Linked DNA regions of Struthio camelus. The protein of the gene in region 2 purifies or fractionates together with the protein of the main gene of each other region. This does not show direct contact. Links are inferred from orthologs where the notes say so. Each region holds a gene or a part of one and is shown on either strand. Other genes may lie near its edges.

Evidence for each region. The genes of interacting proteins can lie anywhere in the genome.
Region 1: the proteins of HIF1A (region 2) and LAMP2 purify together in Homo sapiens (affinity purification with western blotting; 3 studies listed by BioGRID). This does not show direct contact. The link is inferred for Struthio camelus from reciprocal best matches to the Homo sapiens genes HIF1A and LAMP2.

The regions. Positions count from the first base shown.
Region 1 is NC_090952.1:11,884,160-11,891,311, forward strand, and holds the start of LAMP2 (lysosome-associated membrane glycoprotein 2), read left to right. Parts: upstream 1-4,148; 5' UTR 4,149-4,261; coding exon 4,262-4,343; intron 4,344-7,152. UniProt on the Homo sapiens protein: Lysosomal membrane glycoprotein which plays an important role in lysosome biogenesis, lysosomal pH regulation and autophagy.
Region 2 is NC_090946.1:76,628,077-76,635,619, reverse strand, and holds the start of HIF1A (hypoxia-inducible factor 1-alpha), read left to right. Parts: upstream 1-4,536; 5' UTR 4,537-4,764; coding exon 4,765-4,799; intron 4,800-5,095; exon of another isoform or gene 5,096-5,395; intron 5,396-6,488; exon of another isoform or gene 6,489-6,838; intron 6,839-7,543.

The DNA.
Region 1 (7,152 bases), on a different chromosome or scaffold from region 2:
GATTCAGCAACGGATTAAGCATATGTTGGACATCAAGAATATGGTGCGAATGAAAGCCATAGAACAACCTATACATCTGAAATTAGGCATGAATTTATATTCCTCGCTGAACTGAAGCTTACAAAAGAAATCACATAGGTATCGCATATCTGTCCTCAGTACATGTTGTTGAAACTCCTGACATCAAGCTAAGTATACCAGGCAGTAAAAATGTAATGTGATACAGTGACATTACAGTCCTCATTTTCAAATCCAGCAGTAACTGCAAGGAGCGTCTTAGAAAAACAGGACCAGCTTTACCATCTATCAGTGGCTCCCACAATTATGCCAAATAAAAAATCCTATCCCCCCAGTAGGCAAAAGGCTAAGGCATTTTTTCTGCATCATACTAGCAATCATTCGCACTTTTGTCATCCAAGGAAAGCAGCTGATCGTTAAGAGTTTGCTCTTTGTTACAGAAGTCCCACTCCCACATAAATGCTGTCATCTTTAAGACCACAATAGTCAACAAGGAACTTACTCATGATAAATAAGATGCTATGGATATTTGTTAGAGATTGAATCCTACAAGTACTGAGTATATTTGCTTTTCATGGAATTTAAGAGGAATCAGATAACACCTGATCACAGCCAGTACAATCCTTTCTAAGGAAAGCTGGAGGATTTGTTGAAAAAGGGAGAGGAACACAGATTTATGTTGTTCCTTGGAGAACTACGAAGAGAAGACAGGCTTTGGAAACTGCCCAAAAATTGGCCTTGTAGGGAGAATACTGCCAAAACCAAGCTTCTGTTATCAGGCTAGGCAAGAGGAGAGTATTACTGTGCTAATGCAGGAGTGCATTGTTTTTAAGAATCACAAACATATCTTTAACGGATAATCACCACATTCAGATAGCTGAAGCATGTGGGTTTTGCTGGACAAACTCCACCCCTCATGTGAATGAAAAGTGCTTGCACCCACTCACTCCAGGTACAGTTTCACCCTTTGGAGTCTTCCCAAGGACTCCTCTCGGAAGGGCAGAAACGTATAGAGATTCCTTTCATGGCTGCCTCATCACTGCCCACATTGTAGCTAGGGACAGTCTTTAACAGTTGTGATATCAACGATATTTCTGGTGCAAAATAATATATTTTACATCATGCTAGATTATATGCACTATACTAGCCTTTTAGTCCTACACCAGTCGCTAATCTGACTCTGTGTAATTTATTAGGAACAGATTTGCTTGTTACTGTATCTACCATTTGATTTCATTTCACACTTCACTAAGCTGGCACAATGGAAACAAGGAATCACTCTTCCTTTCACTTCTGCAGATTGTCTAGTCATGTTACAGTCCATTTCTAAGGTACCGGCAAGAGATCAGAATATTATCAGAAGTAAGGGATATTCAAGACACTAGTGTTTATAAATAAAGCTCATGTCCTGAAGTAAACGTTCCAGCTGACACAAAACACGACATTGCTGCACACCAACTGCCTAGAACATATCACCCATTTTCTCCTGCTCCCGTTAGTTAAAGCCTAATTCAGTGTCGCTATCCTAATATTTAAAACCTTTCAATGGAGTTCCTGCCTGAACGATCACTCTTTAAGAACAAGATCTATTGTGACCATGTTCCATTTCACTAAAACAACAAAGCATGAGGATATGTAAAAGCATGGGAGATGGGACTCTCCCTAGCCTTTCAACTGCCCCATTTTTTGCCCTAGAGCTGAAAGCCCAAAGACTTGCTACTTTCAGGATTAGTGCTTTCATCTATGCCATTATCTATGCCATTCCATCTACACTCGAAGCTCCCCCACGGCCTACAACAAACAATGGCTCAAGTATTAAACATAAATTTTATTTCCTCAGATAAGTTTTCAGTAAATTAAGCCCAAAGGCTGAATTAAAAAAAAAAAAAACACACAAGCACTTGTGGGTGGAAGCCCCGTTTGTAAAATTCACTGGTTTCAGTGGTGTTCTAGCCTTGCCAGATTTTGTTTTGTGATATTCTTTGGAAAAGTACAGCATTACAAGTACATAACTTAGACTATTTAATTACCATATACTCATACATTGCATTATTTCAACTTCCTCAAGACTTTATGCTCGTCCTCTTGTCTACACCACCTTTATGCCTTATCTTAAGACTCTGTCTCACGATACCAGGTTGAAGTGTTTCATTGTCCTCTTCAAGAGCTTTCATTCTCTTCCTGCATCACTGGGTATATCTCTTAGATCCTGGTTAGTCAAATACCATTTGCGGTTTTCCTAGAGAAACACACATATCTTATTCCAGTAGGGCCTGCCCTTACTGAATCTAGAGCTCCTGTTTCCTCAGGCAGCTGAGAATCCTCCTGCCGTTCTCCTCGCTGTCTCCCAGTGTCAGTCTCTTCTTTCCCATCTCTTAACCATGGTTTCTGTGCCAAGACAACCTTTGTGTCTGTTTCTGATCAATACCCTCCAACCTTCAATTCAACTTCCAGCTGATTTTATATCTCCATCCAGTCTCAGATTCACCAGGTTTCATGTCCACTCTTGTCTTCTTCCCCTTCCCATCTACCCTATCGTGTGTTTTCTCCTGCACTTGCATCTGGCAGCTTCTTTCTCCTGCCTTCTTCTTTCTGTCTTGCACTTAGGCATTAGTGCAAATGCAGCAAAGCCTCCCAGTTCTTGCTGCTAATGCCAAACTCCACCCTCCTTAACAGAAGCAATTACTGGAAAGATTTCTAGCCAGTCATTTAGTAGGCACGGTACATGTGAATTCTGCTCACACACAAGAAGAGCTAGGAAGGGGCAGAGAATGGGCCTACTTCTGCAAAGGTGTGGTATAATCTCTGATTAGCCCTGGGTAATGTGAAATGATGGATAACAGAATCACAGAGATTAGAGCGGGCAGGGACATTGGGAGACTATCTAAGTCCACCTCTGCCCTACAACAGAATAATTTCCTGAAGGAAGTTTGTCTAACCTGTTTTTTAAAAAAACACAATCTGGCATGCGAATCTAGTGCAAAGCTCTACTAGTCCTTCCCCACTATCTAACGTAAATATTTGTTGTCATTTTAGCCCATTTCTCTCCCATCCTATTTATTGTAAACATGGAAAATAGTTTATTCCTTTATTTTTTTTCCAGTGGAAGTCTCTATATTAAAAGTATAATTTTTTCTTAGTGTATCTTCTCTCAGCTTTTTCTTCTTAACCTAAAAAGAGCCCAGTTAACTTCAGAACGGCTGTATGAGGTCAAAGTAAATGCCTCATAACCTGTTTCTGCAGTAGCCAATAGTGGACATGCAGGGAAGACTATAAGAAGAGAGTAAATATATAGCGCTACTTCTTTGTTACACAATGCCAGCTTTGAACAATAGGCCGGTCAGGGGCGTTCTGAGCCAGAGATGGCATTTCTGTGTTTAAAAAGTCTTTCAAGCTTTCCTCTTATAACGTATTTCTGTGCCCCTAACTCTTGCTGGATTCTCTCTTGTTCAACAATGGTGAAAGATGACGAAATCTGAGAGGAGCTCGGCCACTGAAATCTTCAAAGCCCCTTCTGAGCATGTTCACACCAGAAATCTTCAGCACTGTGAAGTCTGCAGCGGACGGTCAGAGGAACAGGAAACACCGCGTCTCTGGCTCAGAGGGCCCCTCCTTGCCAAGTCCCTGTTGCACAACATGGAAATGCTAGAGTTCACCCAAGGAAAGAAAGGTCAGCAGATTTTTGTTTATTGGATGCAAAACTTGTTTTCCCTCAGCCTTACTCATGGAAAAGGTTCAAATATGATGAGAAGGAGAGAAGGGATGGAGAAATAGAAGAAGAGCAGGGAAAAAAAAGAGAGAGAAAAGGAGAAAAAAGAAAAAAAGGAGATTTAGCCAAGAGCAGGCCTTTTTCAAGGAAAACCCGAGTCCAAGCTGACACAAATTAAAGAGTAGAGCTATACGAAGTGGAAATAGGGTCTTACAGGGGGATCGGCCGGGCACCGCGCTGCCACCCGGCGTGTGGCAGGAAAATGGCCCCCAGCCCCTGAGGCAACACCCGGACCCAAACCCCCCCCCCCCCCCGCCGCCCGCCCGAGGAGGCGCGGCGCGCGCCTCGCCCGAGAGCCATGGAATCGAGCCGGGCGGGCGCGGCGATTGGCGGAGCGCAAACAGCCCCGCCCATCCCCTCACATGACCGACGGCGACGCTTTTGCCGCGCCCGCCCGCTTCTAGGCATCCCCCCCTCCCCGCCGCTCTCCCCTCGCCGCCTCACGCAACCCCTCCGCCTGCCGCCGCCGGGAGCATGGAGCCGCGCTGGTCGCCGCGGGGGCCGCTCCGCCTGCCGCGCTGCTCCGCCTGCCTCCTGCTGCTGCTCGGCACCGCCGGTGAGGGGGCGCGCCGAGGCCTGCGGGCGCGGGGCCTGCGGGCGGGCGCGGCTGAGCTGAGCTGAGCTGAGGGGGCGACGGGCCCGCGCGCCAGGGCCGTTGGGCCGCGCGCGCGCGCGGGCGGGGGGCGGTTGTTGTCCCCGCGGCGGCTGGCGCGTGCCCCCTCCTCCCCCCCCACCCCCCGCGTCGGGCACGTGACGCGGCCTCGGGCAACGGCCGAGCGCGCGGGGGCGCCTGGGGCTGCCCGCGGCCCCTCCCCGGCGGCGGCGACGTTCGCCCCCTCCCCCCCCCCCCTCCGGCCGCCGCCGCCGCCCGGGGCTGCTCTGCCGGCTGCGCCGTCACCCGCAGAGGGAGAGTCGGGGCTGGCGCTTCTCTGCGGCGCAGCGAAGGCCCCGCTGCTCGCTGTGGGTGAGCAGCCGGCGGCGAGCGCCCGGGCCCCGGCGGCCTTGGCGGGCGAGGGCGCAGGCGAGGCCGCCGACCGGCTCCCTGCGCTCGGCGCTGCCGCTGTCAGCCCGCAGGCCGCTGCCGCCTTCCTGAGCCCTCCCGGTCGGCTCCCAGCGGCAACCGAGGCGCGTTTGGAGCTGGGGAGACCAACGGTCATACTCTCACGCGATATAGAGCGTGTTGGAATAACTCTTGTTCCCCTTAAAAAAGAAAACTCAAGTAGGAGTCAAGCAAGTGCTAGTAACGCGTTTTTATCTCTGAAGAGATGAGTTATATATGTTTATGTATTTAAGTGAGGTTTGGGATGAATTCAGGGGGTTCTCCCTTATAAAGCGTTCTCAAAGCGTGACGAGCACTTTGCAGAGTAACGTTGTCCTTTCAGGTCATGGCTTTGAGAATGGACTTGTCTGCCCCTCAGTTCACTCTGTATTTTTGTTAATACTCTCTTTGTTCCATTATAAAGCCTTATACTTAAATGCCAACTTTTGCCACTGTTTGCTGTTGCATTAAGTAGCAGTATTATACCATAGCACTCCTTTTGCATTTGTAGATGCCTTTGGTATAGTAAGGGTGAGAAAGTAGTGGGTTTTTTTTTTTTTAACAAAAAAAAAACCACACACACAAACCTTGTGTACCTTTATATCCAAAGACGCTCCTTCTATAAAGAGGTAGACTGACTAGAGGTTGCAAAAAGCCAGGCTAATCTGCTTCTGATAAATGCAATCCCTAATTTTATTAATCATGTTTTACTGTCTGCAGCACTGTTACGTGAGCAAAGCATGCAAGGAGGCTGTCTGATCTTCAGGTTTCATGAAGAGAATGCCCCTGTCCTGCAAATTCTATATTACAAATTTAGCAGTTAACTGAACGTAGTCCTCTGCTATGCTAGCACTTCCTGCCAACTGTGTTAGATGCTTGTCACGTTTGTGTCTGTGGCTTTTGAGGACATCTTCTAACTAGTTACTTAAAAGTAGATCAGATCTCTTATAGGGAAGGTGCATCTTTTGGCAGCTGGAATAAAGCTGTACTGGCAAAAATTACAGTTACTCACTGTTAAGCAGGTCAGGGCGTGTAAGGTGCTGTATGTCTGTTGGGATTATCTGTGTTGGTCAAGTCTACTGTATGCGCTTGCTAACTGTAGCATTTCTTCAGTCTTTACTGCTGCCATCTACCACCACCTGTGCTGAAGTATCCCTTTTGGAGAAGTTATTGCAAGCTACTTTCTCTGTAAGGAAAACAGTCTGAGTAGTAGTTAACTTGATACTTCTTCTTAGGATGTTTTCAGTTACTCATAGTAAATAAGCTTTCTTCCTTTTGCTCTCACCTACTAATTAATAGCAAAAATAGTTTCAGAGCTCAATTTATGTCTTTTTTCATATCTTTTTTTTTAATGAGGGTGGAAGGGACTTTCCTAATATGTAAAACAGCATTGAGAAGCCAAGAAATTGCAGTATTACAAAACAAGTTAGTAAAGTTGCTCCTGCTAGTTTTATACTGCTTTTCAAATTGTGGTAAAATAATTACTTCTAAATATACTTATCTTTTGGCTCAGTCAATAGTCTTTTAACATGCCGTGTGACATGGTGTGTTTATATTGAAGTACCATGGCTATGCTGGCTAGGTTGCAGTGGTTTCCAGAAACTTAAGGCCTGGCCCAGTTTCTTCTGAAATGAGAATGGATGGTAATACAGAACTGGTACACAGGTGCAGTAATAAATAACTCTTTAACTAAAAAATGAGCTTTTATTTAATGTTGCTGGAGCTCTAAGCTACTTCTTGGCAGTAAGTTTGTGTGCTTTGCAGTAGTAAATTGCAAAGCTGGTATCTTCTAGTGCACCATAGAACTCTGTACAAACAAAAATTCTCCTAAAAAGGCATAACAAACCGGTGGTTTGTGAATGTGCAAGCAATCTTTAGTGTTTACTGCCTTACTTTGTGGGTAGATGTACTACTTTTGTCTCTAATTCTGCTAGCTGAGGGATTTCCCTTTGTAGGTATTGCCTTACGGGGCGTTACAGCCACTGTGGAAGTTTTAACAGAATCTTCTGCTGCCTAGAAATTAATGTAAACAGGGGTCTTCAGCTACATAGCTGTTCTTGATATATGCTCCTGTATTCTTTTTTTCCTACTATTCAGAAATCTCATGAGTCCTGGAGCGTTTAGTAATTCTTATCACTGTCTTTTCCACTTGTTCACTGTCAGCCTGAAGGGATGAAGTGAGCAGAATTTCTCTCTGCCCAGAGTCAGAATTTTATTCAGTGATTAGATGATGGAGGTGAGTAAATAATTCAAAACCTTGAGAAGCAGCATGCCCTATGGAGGGTGTAAATAACATTCAGAACAATCTTTTGCTTTACTGGATTGT
Region 2 (7,543 bases):
GCCCACCGAGTGCCTGCACGCCTCATGCTTTCAGCTGGTGAAGTCCTTCCTGGGTAGGAAATCCTTCCCTCAAATCTAATTATGCTGAATTGGACTTAGTGCTTTTACTATACTGCAGAATGTGTTACCTCCACTGGGGCACTTTTCTGTGCAGAAATCAAGGTGACTAGAGTCTTTCCAAATGCCTAAATGCACTCTGACAAGCAAGCTTTAAAAGGTGCTCATCGTTTAAAAACATTATTTTGATTTTGCAAAGGGGAGAAGAAGAAGAAACAAGATCCTGGCCTAAGAAGCAGAGGAGAAGCTCTACAAATCAGAAGAGACCAGTGGAAATCACAGTTGCCAAAGAGAGATATTGTCTCTCATCACATACTCTTGTTTCAGACAAAATTTCACATTTGAGAAACAGCGGCATTCACTTTTCACTGTTTTGGTGACCACTGGTTTGGTTCAAACCAAGCATTTTAGTTGGAATTCAATCAATAATGATGGATACAACAATAAACCACCTTTCTATTGTGAAATGAGTTGATGATCAGAGATCTCAGGTTCTTGCATTGTTACAAATAAGAAGCCACATTAGATTATTGGCAGTCCGTAAAGGAGCCAAGGGTCTGCACAGCCATAGAGACTTGAGGGCACTTTTTTTTTCAAGTAAATGATTCTACAGGGGTGCTGTACGTATGGCATGTTTTGTGGTCAAATATCATTAGATTGGTTTGTGCGCTTCCCTTCCCCTTTAGAACTGTGCTTATTTACTGAATCAATAAATATTAATTTCCTAATCTTAATGGGTTGTACTGCCAAGTAAAAGCCCAGGGAAGCCAGTGCTGCAGGGGGTTGTTGCAGAGGCGTCCCAGGAGTCACCAAACCAAGTGACTTAAATGGAAGGAGTCCTTACTTCTTGCTAAAATCCTCCACCTGGTAAGTCCAAGCTCAGAAACTTGAAGTGCTCTTAGCAGAGAAGATGCTTGAGAAAAATGCAGGCCCTGGTCTTATTCCCACTGAAGTTAGCAGAAGTTTTGCCACTGAATTTTGATGGGGATGGGATTGGGTCCTGAGACAGCTAATGTGTACCGTGCCCGTCCTGGCAGTGTTTCACCTATCAGCAGACAGATCTGAAGCCATGGGCAGTAGCGTATCTCGCATCTTCATGTGGATCTGTGCTGCTGCTGGATTCCTTCTGCTGTCTTCGCTGAGCCTTTTGCTGACTCATCGTCTTGCTGGCTGTGAATTTGTCCCAATTAGTCATATGCAAACACTATTTAATACAGGAAGTTGTCTTAACGTAAGTTAGAGTATGAACTTAGTACACCAATAAAGGTCAAACAAAGTGACTAAGGCATTACCTACTGTAATAAGTTTCTCTTGTCAGGCACTGGCAAGACGGGAAAGAAAATATATGCAGAATATTAGAGGAGTGACTCAAAAGTTCAGTAAGGGGAGGGTGAAGGGAAGGGAACTTTTGCTTAATATCTCTCCAGAGCTGCTACAGTACAAAATGTTTAATCGTGGAATGAATTTCCAGTAACATCATCCTGAAACACTACTGGTTTTTGATGCAGAATTCTTTATTACGGGTTGGAGTAACCATGTTCGGTATGAGAGAAATGTGCCTAGTAAGGAGACCACAATGCTTACTCACAGCTCCTCAGCCAGTTCATGCTGGGAAGCTCGAAAGCCTTGAACAATTAACTTGAGCAGTGTTAGTAATTTGTATACTGAGATTTTTCTGTAGCGTCTTTTACTCTGGGATTGCTAACACTTCCAGAGCCTTCGTGCCTGTATTAATTAAAATGATCACAACCTAGCATGAGACTATTCAATGAGGAACTGTTTCAGTGTATTGCGCAGTATGTAAATTTAGATAATGGCAATAAAGGTGTACAAGTGAATCCTAAGATGTCACTATTTATGGGCACCAAAATTAATTGTTAATAAAATGAGTGGTTGGAGGATTGAAAATAAGAGCCCATTGGGTAGGACGAGCTGAGGTCTGTAGCTTTACCGCTAGGCTGTCCTGGCCTGGGATCACATCGGTGCTCGCACTTAGCTCCCTTTAGAAGATGAAGGGATAAGAGGTTAGTGGAAGGACTGCAGTGGAAGTGCAACGGAGGCTTTCGCTCCTGTGTGCGGACCCCTTCCTCCTCATGCGCGGGTTAGAGACGCTGCAAAGGCTGCTCAGCATGACCTGCCGGCCCCCTCTGCGGTGCAGCAAGCACCTCTATTAGCAGCACTTCGCTGCCGAAACTCCCCCGCTGCGTCCCTGGGGCAGGGGCTCTGCAGGGGGGTCGGGGGAGGCACCGAGCTGGGAGTGAGATTTCGGCACCTGCCAGGAGATCCGCCGTTTCACCAGGAGAATTCCTTAGGGGCCGTCACGGTGGCTTTGCGACCGTGCTAAAACAGCGCGAGGTTGCTGCGCGCGAGCGACTGCGTCCCTGCGCTTGAACCGGCTGTACCTCATTTTCAAATACGATGTGTCCACGAGCGCTTGTGCGGGGCTTCTTGGTGTTTATGCAGGAGACCTGAGTTTGAGTCTTGCTCTGATTATTTCTCTTCTTGAGGCTCCACTGAGCAGAACAACAAAAATATCAGCAGTCTACAGCCACACTGCCACGGGCTATCGTGTTGTCACTTCTCATAAGCTAAGCAAAGCTGGCCTTTGTCTGTATTTGCATGCGAAACCTTAAAGGGATAAAGGGAGTCTGTAGCACATGTGTCTCTTCTGTGTATCAGATTGCGGCAGGCAGGAGCAATTCATTTCACATAGAAACTCTCTGTGATTTCTATTAAATGTCACGGTCATTGCCTTTTCTTCAAAAGAAATTACAAAAAACCCCCACGGTTGTATGCAAAAATGACTGTTTGTTATGTGAAAGTTCAGACCCCACTGCAGAAATGTTAGCGAGATACAGTCCTGAAACGACATCGTTTTGCCCTGCAGGTGTTTCTTACAACATTATAAATGCATACAGCAGTGCAGGGTTGTTACCTGTGCCTGTCAAAGCTTATTTTTAAAGGGTATCATTACCTTTGCGCTATGAACTGAACAGCGTCGTATGGTTCACCTCTTTAGGATCACTTAACTTCTTGTTGGAGGAAGCCTACCAGACATGAAGTAATCTCCAAGCTCTAGAGTCCCTTCACTTTGAACTGCACCTTCACCTACTCCACAGAACCGGAAAAGTAGATGACTAAGGCACCATAGCTAATGTTGCTGGGGAGCCTCTAATTTTAAATGCGTGGACTCTGGCCGTGACTTTCCTCCCTCCGCGCCGGCCCAGCTGCGGCTCGCCGGTGCGCTGCCTCGGTCTGTCCTGGAGGTTACTTGCGAGTGTCTCTATCGCCGTGTTTATGTAAGGCTCCTCCATGAAGCTTTTCCTACGTTAATCTCTCTGACAGCAAAGCTGTGGCATTGTATTCCGGCCGGGGCTTCTGTGTTTGTCTCACTTTGATTGTAAGTAAGTGCCTTGTAAAAAAAACAAAACAAAAAAAAAACAAAAAACCCCCCTAAACCCTGCATCCTTTTTGGTGCCTGTTGAAGTAGCGTGCGCTTTCTCAGCTTCGGATAGAGGCATATAGGTGCTCCGCACGGCCTGTTCAGCCTCCCAGCCGGGAAGGCCGCTTGGCTTTTTTCTTCTTCTTCTCTTTTTTTTTTTTTAAGTTGTATCTGTCCCTCTGGCCCACCCCACGATGTGCTTATTCTCTTTAATTGATCTGCGTCTTTCAACGCATTCGCTTGATACGGCCTGGTCGCGTTGCTAGCAAACCTTCGGGAAACGGGAAGGAGTTAGGAACTGGACAGGTTTCTCGCTACAAAGAGGTGGATAGGGCAATAAACGTGCGACCGTGCCAGTACAACGGCAGGGACCGCAGCGTGATTTGGGGCGGTTTTGTGCGTGCGTGCGCTATAGGGCGGATTAGCGAGTCCCACCAGTGACTGCTGGTCGCGGCGCGTAGGAAACGCGGCGGAGGAGACGCAGGCCCGCCGTGCACGCCGCGCGGGGAGCTGGCGGCTGGCCCGAGCGGGCCGGTGCGGGGCACAGCGGGGGCAGCCCCGGTTTGGGGGCTCCCTGGGCGGGGGGGAAGGTCGGTAGGTAGGGCACGGCCAGAACCGCGTTGGAAACGCCAAAACACACCCCCGCGGCGACGGCGCCGGGGTGGGAGCGGGGGGGAGGAGGGGGAAGGATACGACACAACAGGCAGACTTCCCTCGTGAGGTTAAAACGAGCGGGGCCAGCGGCAGCCGGCGAGGGCGGCGCGGGGAAGAGCCCGCCTGCGCCCGGGGCCGCGGCGAGGCGGGGAGCTCGGAGGGGAGGCCGGGGCGACATGATGGAGGCCGGCGCGGCCCGCCCCGCCCCGCACACAGCCCTCCACGTGAAGCGCCGGCCCCCGCCCAGCTGTTTGCTCAGCTGACCCCGCCGGCCCAGGGGGGCCGGGCTCCGCCGCGGCTCCTCACTGGCGCAGCGCTGGGTCCGGGCCGGCCGAGCCCGCCCCCAGCCCCCGCCGCCGCCGTCTCCGTTTCGGCGAGCCCCGCGCCGCCCGCCTCCCACAGCCGCCGCCGCTGCGCCCCGCGCCGGCCGCACCTCGCCGCAGGCCCCGGAGCCTGCCCCGATGCTTTGAGCCCGCGCCGCCCCAGACCCGGCCCCTTCCCGGCCGCGCCGCCATCTCCGCGCCCCTCGGCGGCCATTGGAGCCGCCCGCCTCGCGTTGTGAGAGCGAGCGAGCGAGCGAGCGAGCGGGAGGAGAAGCCAAGGCGGCCGCCATGGAGAGCCCCGGCGGCGTCAGCGACAAGAAAAGGTAACCGGCCGCCGCCGCCTGCCCGCCCGGCGGCCAGCCCGGCCCGCGGCCCCGCGGCCCGGCTCTGCCCGTCCCCCTCTCGCCATCCTTCGCGCGGAGCCGCCTCCCCTCGCCGCTCTCCATCCTCCCCTTTCTTCTGCCCCCCGGGCACCCCCCCTCCTCCCCGCGCTGTTATCGCTCCCGCCGTCCCCCGTTTCCCCTCTTCTTCCCCCTTTTCTCTCTCTCCCCCCTCCCCCGGCCGCCCCGCGTTCCCCCTCTCCCCGTTCTTCAGCCCGTCTCCGCGGAGAGCGCCTCACTCTTTCATTCCTCCTTCTCCTCGCTGTCCACGTCGCCATTTTGTCGGCGGGGGGAGCGGCGCGGGCGGCGGGCGCCGGCCCCGGGGACGGGGGGGGGGGGTCTGGCCGCCCGAGGTTCGCCCTGGGGGCGCCTGCTGGGCCCCGGCGAGGCGCGCGGCTTTGTGCCTCCGGCTGCTCGTTGTTCGGCCGCTGCGCCGAACCCGGCGGCAGTTACGCTCGGCGCATTGTGTGCGGCTCCTCGTTCCGCTGCCGGGCCGAAGCGGGCGGGCGGGCTGGCGGCTCTCACCGACTGCAACGAAATCCCGGCCCGGCCCGGCCCGGCGCGGTCCGGCCGGCGGCTCTGCTGCGGGTCCGGGCCTTCGGGCCGGCCTGGAGGTGAAGGGGGCACGCCCGAGTCCTTGGATGTGCTAAGGACCCTCGGTGGCCCCCGCAATAAACGCATCCCGATTAGTTCTTCGGTGTTCTGGTTTGTCTTGTTTTCTGTAGGATGGTGAATTAAATGTGCTTGCATAAGTAATTATAAGAGGGCCTTAAAAAAAAAAAAGGGGGGGGGGGTGTTGGTTAAGGCCAGAGTGGCAAAAGGAAGATTTATCAATTTGGTTCAAATGCTGTGGAAAGTCTGAACGTGTTTTAATGGTCATTTGCTGACAACGACTATGGGTTTCTGTACTTGTTCCTAAAAATAAGTTGTTAGGCATTTTTTATTTTTATTTTTTAAGATGGCCACTGAAACTTTGATTTTTATTTTATGTTCTGGTTTTGTTCAGAAAGGGAAGGTTTTTTTAGAGCCTTGGAAGCTTAAGCTTTAAAAAAAAAAGGGAGTGGGGGGGCAGAAAGAGGGCTGCTGAACAATGTAAGTTGAGAAGTATGAATAATTCACCAAGGATTGTTAGCTCAAATTAGAAAGAGGGGGAAATAAAAGCCTTAAAAGCTTTTGTTGCATTGCAAAGTTACAGAGTTGGAGTATTTAGGTGATCAGATTTTTAGACTGGATGTTCCACCAATGTGCTTTGTGGAGGGATTAATTGGTGTAATCGCCATCTGCAGCAGACAGTGTTTGTTTATGTTGATATTGATACCATTTTTTGAGATTGGTTATCTCTGCTCTTGTATCAAAGGGTCATCTGAGTAGGTTAAATTAGTAAAGTATATAAATTGTGTTGGATGTGAGACTGAGTAACTGACTTCTAAAATGGATGTTTAGCTTTGTGCCGAGCTAGAACTGTGAATTCAGAGTGTTGGGCTTGTGAATACAGAGTGCTTTACCTCTAGGACTGTATCGTTGTAATGATTATTTCAAGTTATTACAGTGGGGTAGAGGGTGGAGAAGAAGCAGCTTTTAGTCTAATGAAATATATACTGTGGGGCACCTGGGGTGGTACCAATTCAGTAGCCTTTGTTTTTTCAACTGAAAGGTAATAACTTCTGAGAAGCCTTGGAGAAAATGTTGCAACAGAAATGAATGTTCTATCCTTTTCTCTGCTGGCCTATTTTAGTGGCAGGTCTAGAAAGGGGTTTTGAGACTTAGCTTTTTCTCTGTTCCTGTTTTTTTTTTTTTGTCCTTGAGCATTTTTTTTTTTTTTACTTACCGTTCTGTCCCACTTGGGTACTTTTTTGCAATTTCCTTATCCTGGATGTAATCTGCTTTCTTTAGAACGTAAGAATCAGTATGCATAGCTTATCCCTTCCTTCCTAAAGGCAGAGCTCAAGAAAGAGAATTTGGTGTTTTCTGCATCCTGAAGGGTGAGTTAAAGGTTGGGAATGTTTCTTATAAAGTAGTAAGGAATATTCTGACTACTTCTGTTGTAGAGTGTATTTTAATTGAAAATACCATATTGTATCTGTGGTACACTCATCCTGAGGCTGTGAATGTGCAGTAGAGCAAAGATGGCTAAGCAAAAAAGGAAGAATAAGAAAGAGCTCATCAGAGAACTTACTGCAAATCTCAAGCATTGCTCAAGAGCCTGACTTGGTTTAGAAGGGTTTAGGTTTGACTGTGTCCATGTTAAGAATATTTTTAGAGAAAGTACCTTTAGAAAGTTCCAGTCCTGTTTTTTGATGATAAAATTTTGGCTGACTGTAGATGTGGCGCACCTTAACTTTCAGCATGTGTTAAGATCATTTAATTCCTTTTCCCCTATCTGCGTGTATATTTGGGTAATATTCAGCTATTGATAGTTAGAGAGGTAAAGTGAAGTTTTTTTGCTTGCTAATTATGTGCTGTGGGATCCAGAAACTATGGAAATTTGACCAAATCTGTCTCTTATGACTTAATTTCACTTATTAATTATATAACAGCAACTGAAAGTGTGGACTGGTGTACTGCTTTGTTGAAACCATTCTTTTATGTAGTCCCAAGTTACGTAGATCTAACTTGATTTCTTATGGAATCTTAAGCACTCTGTATTTTTTGCAATCTGATTAGGTATTGGCGTTTTGGGGGGTATT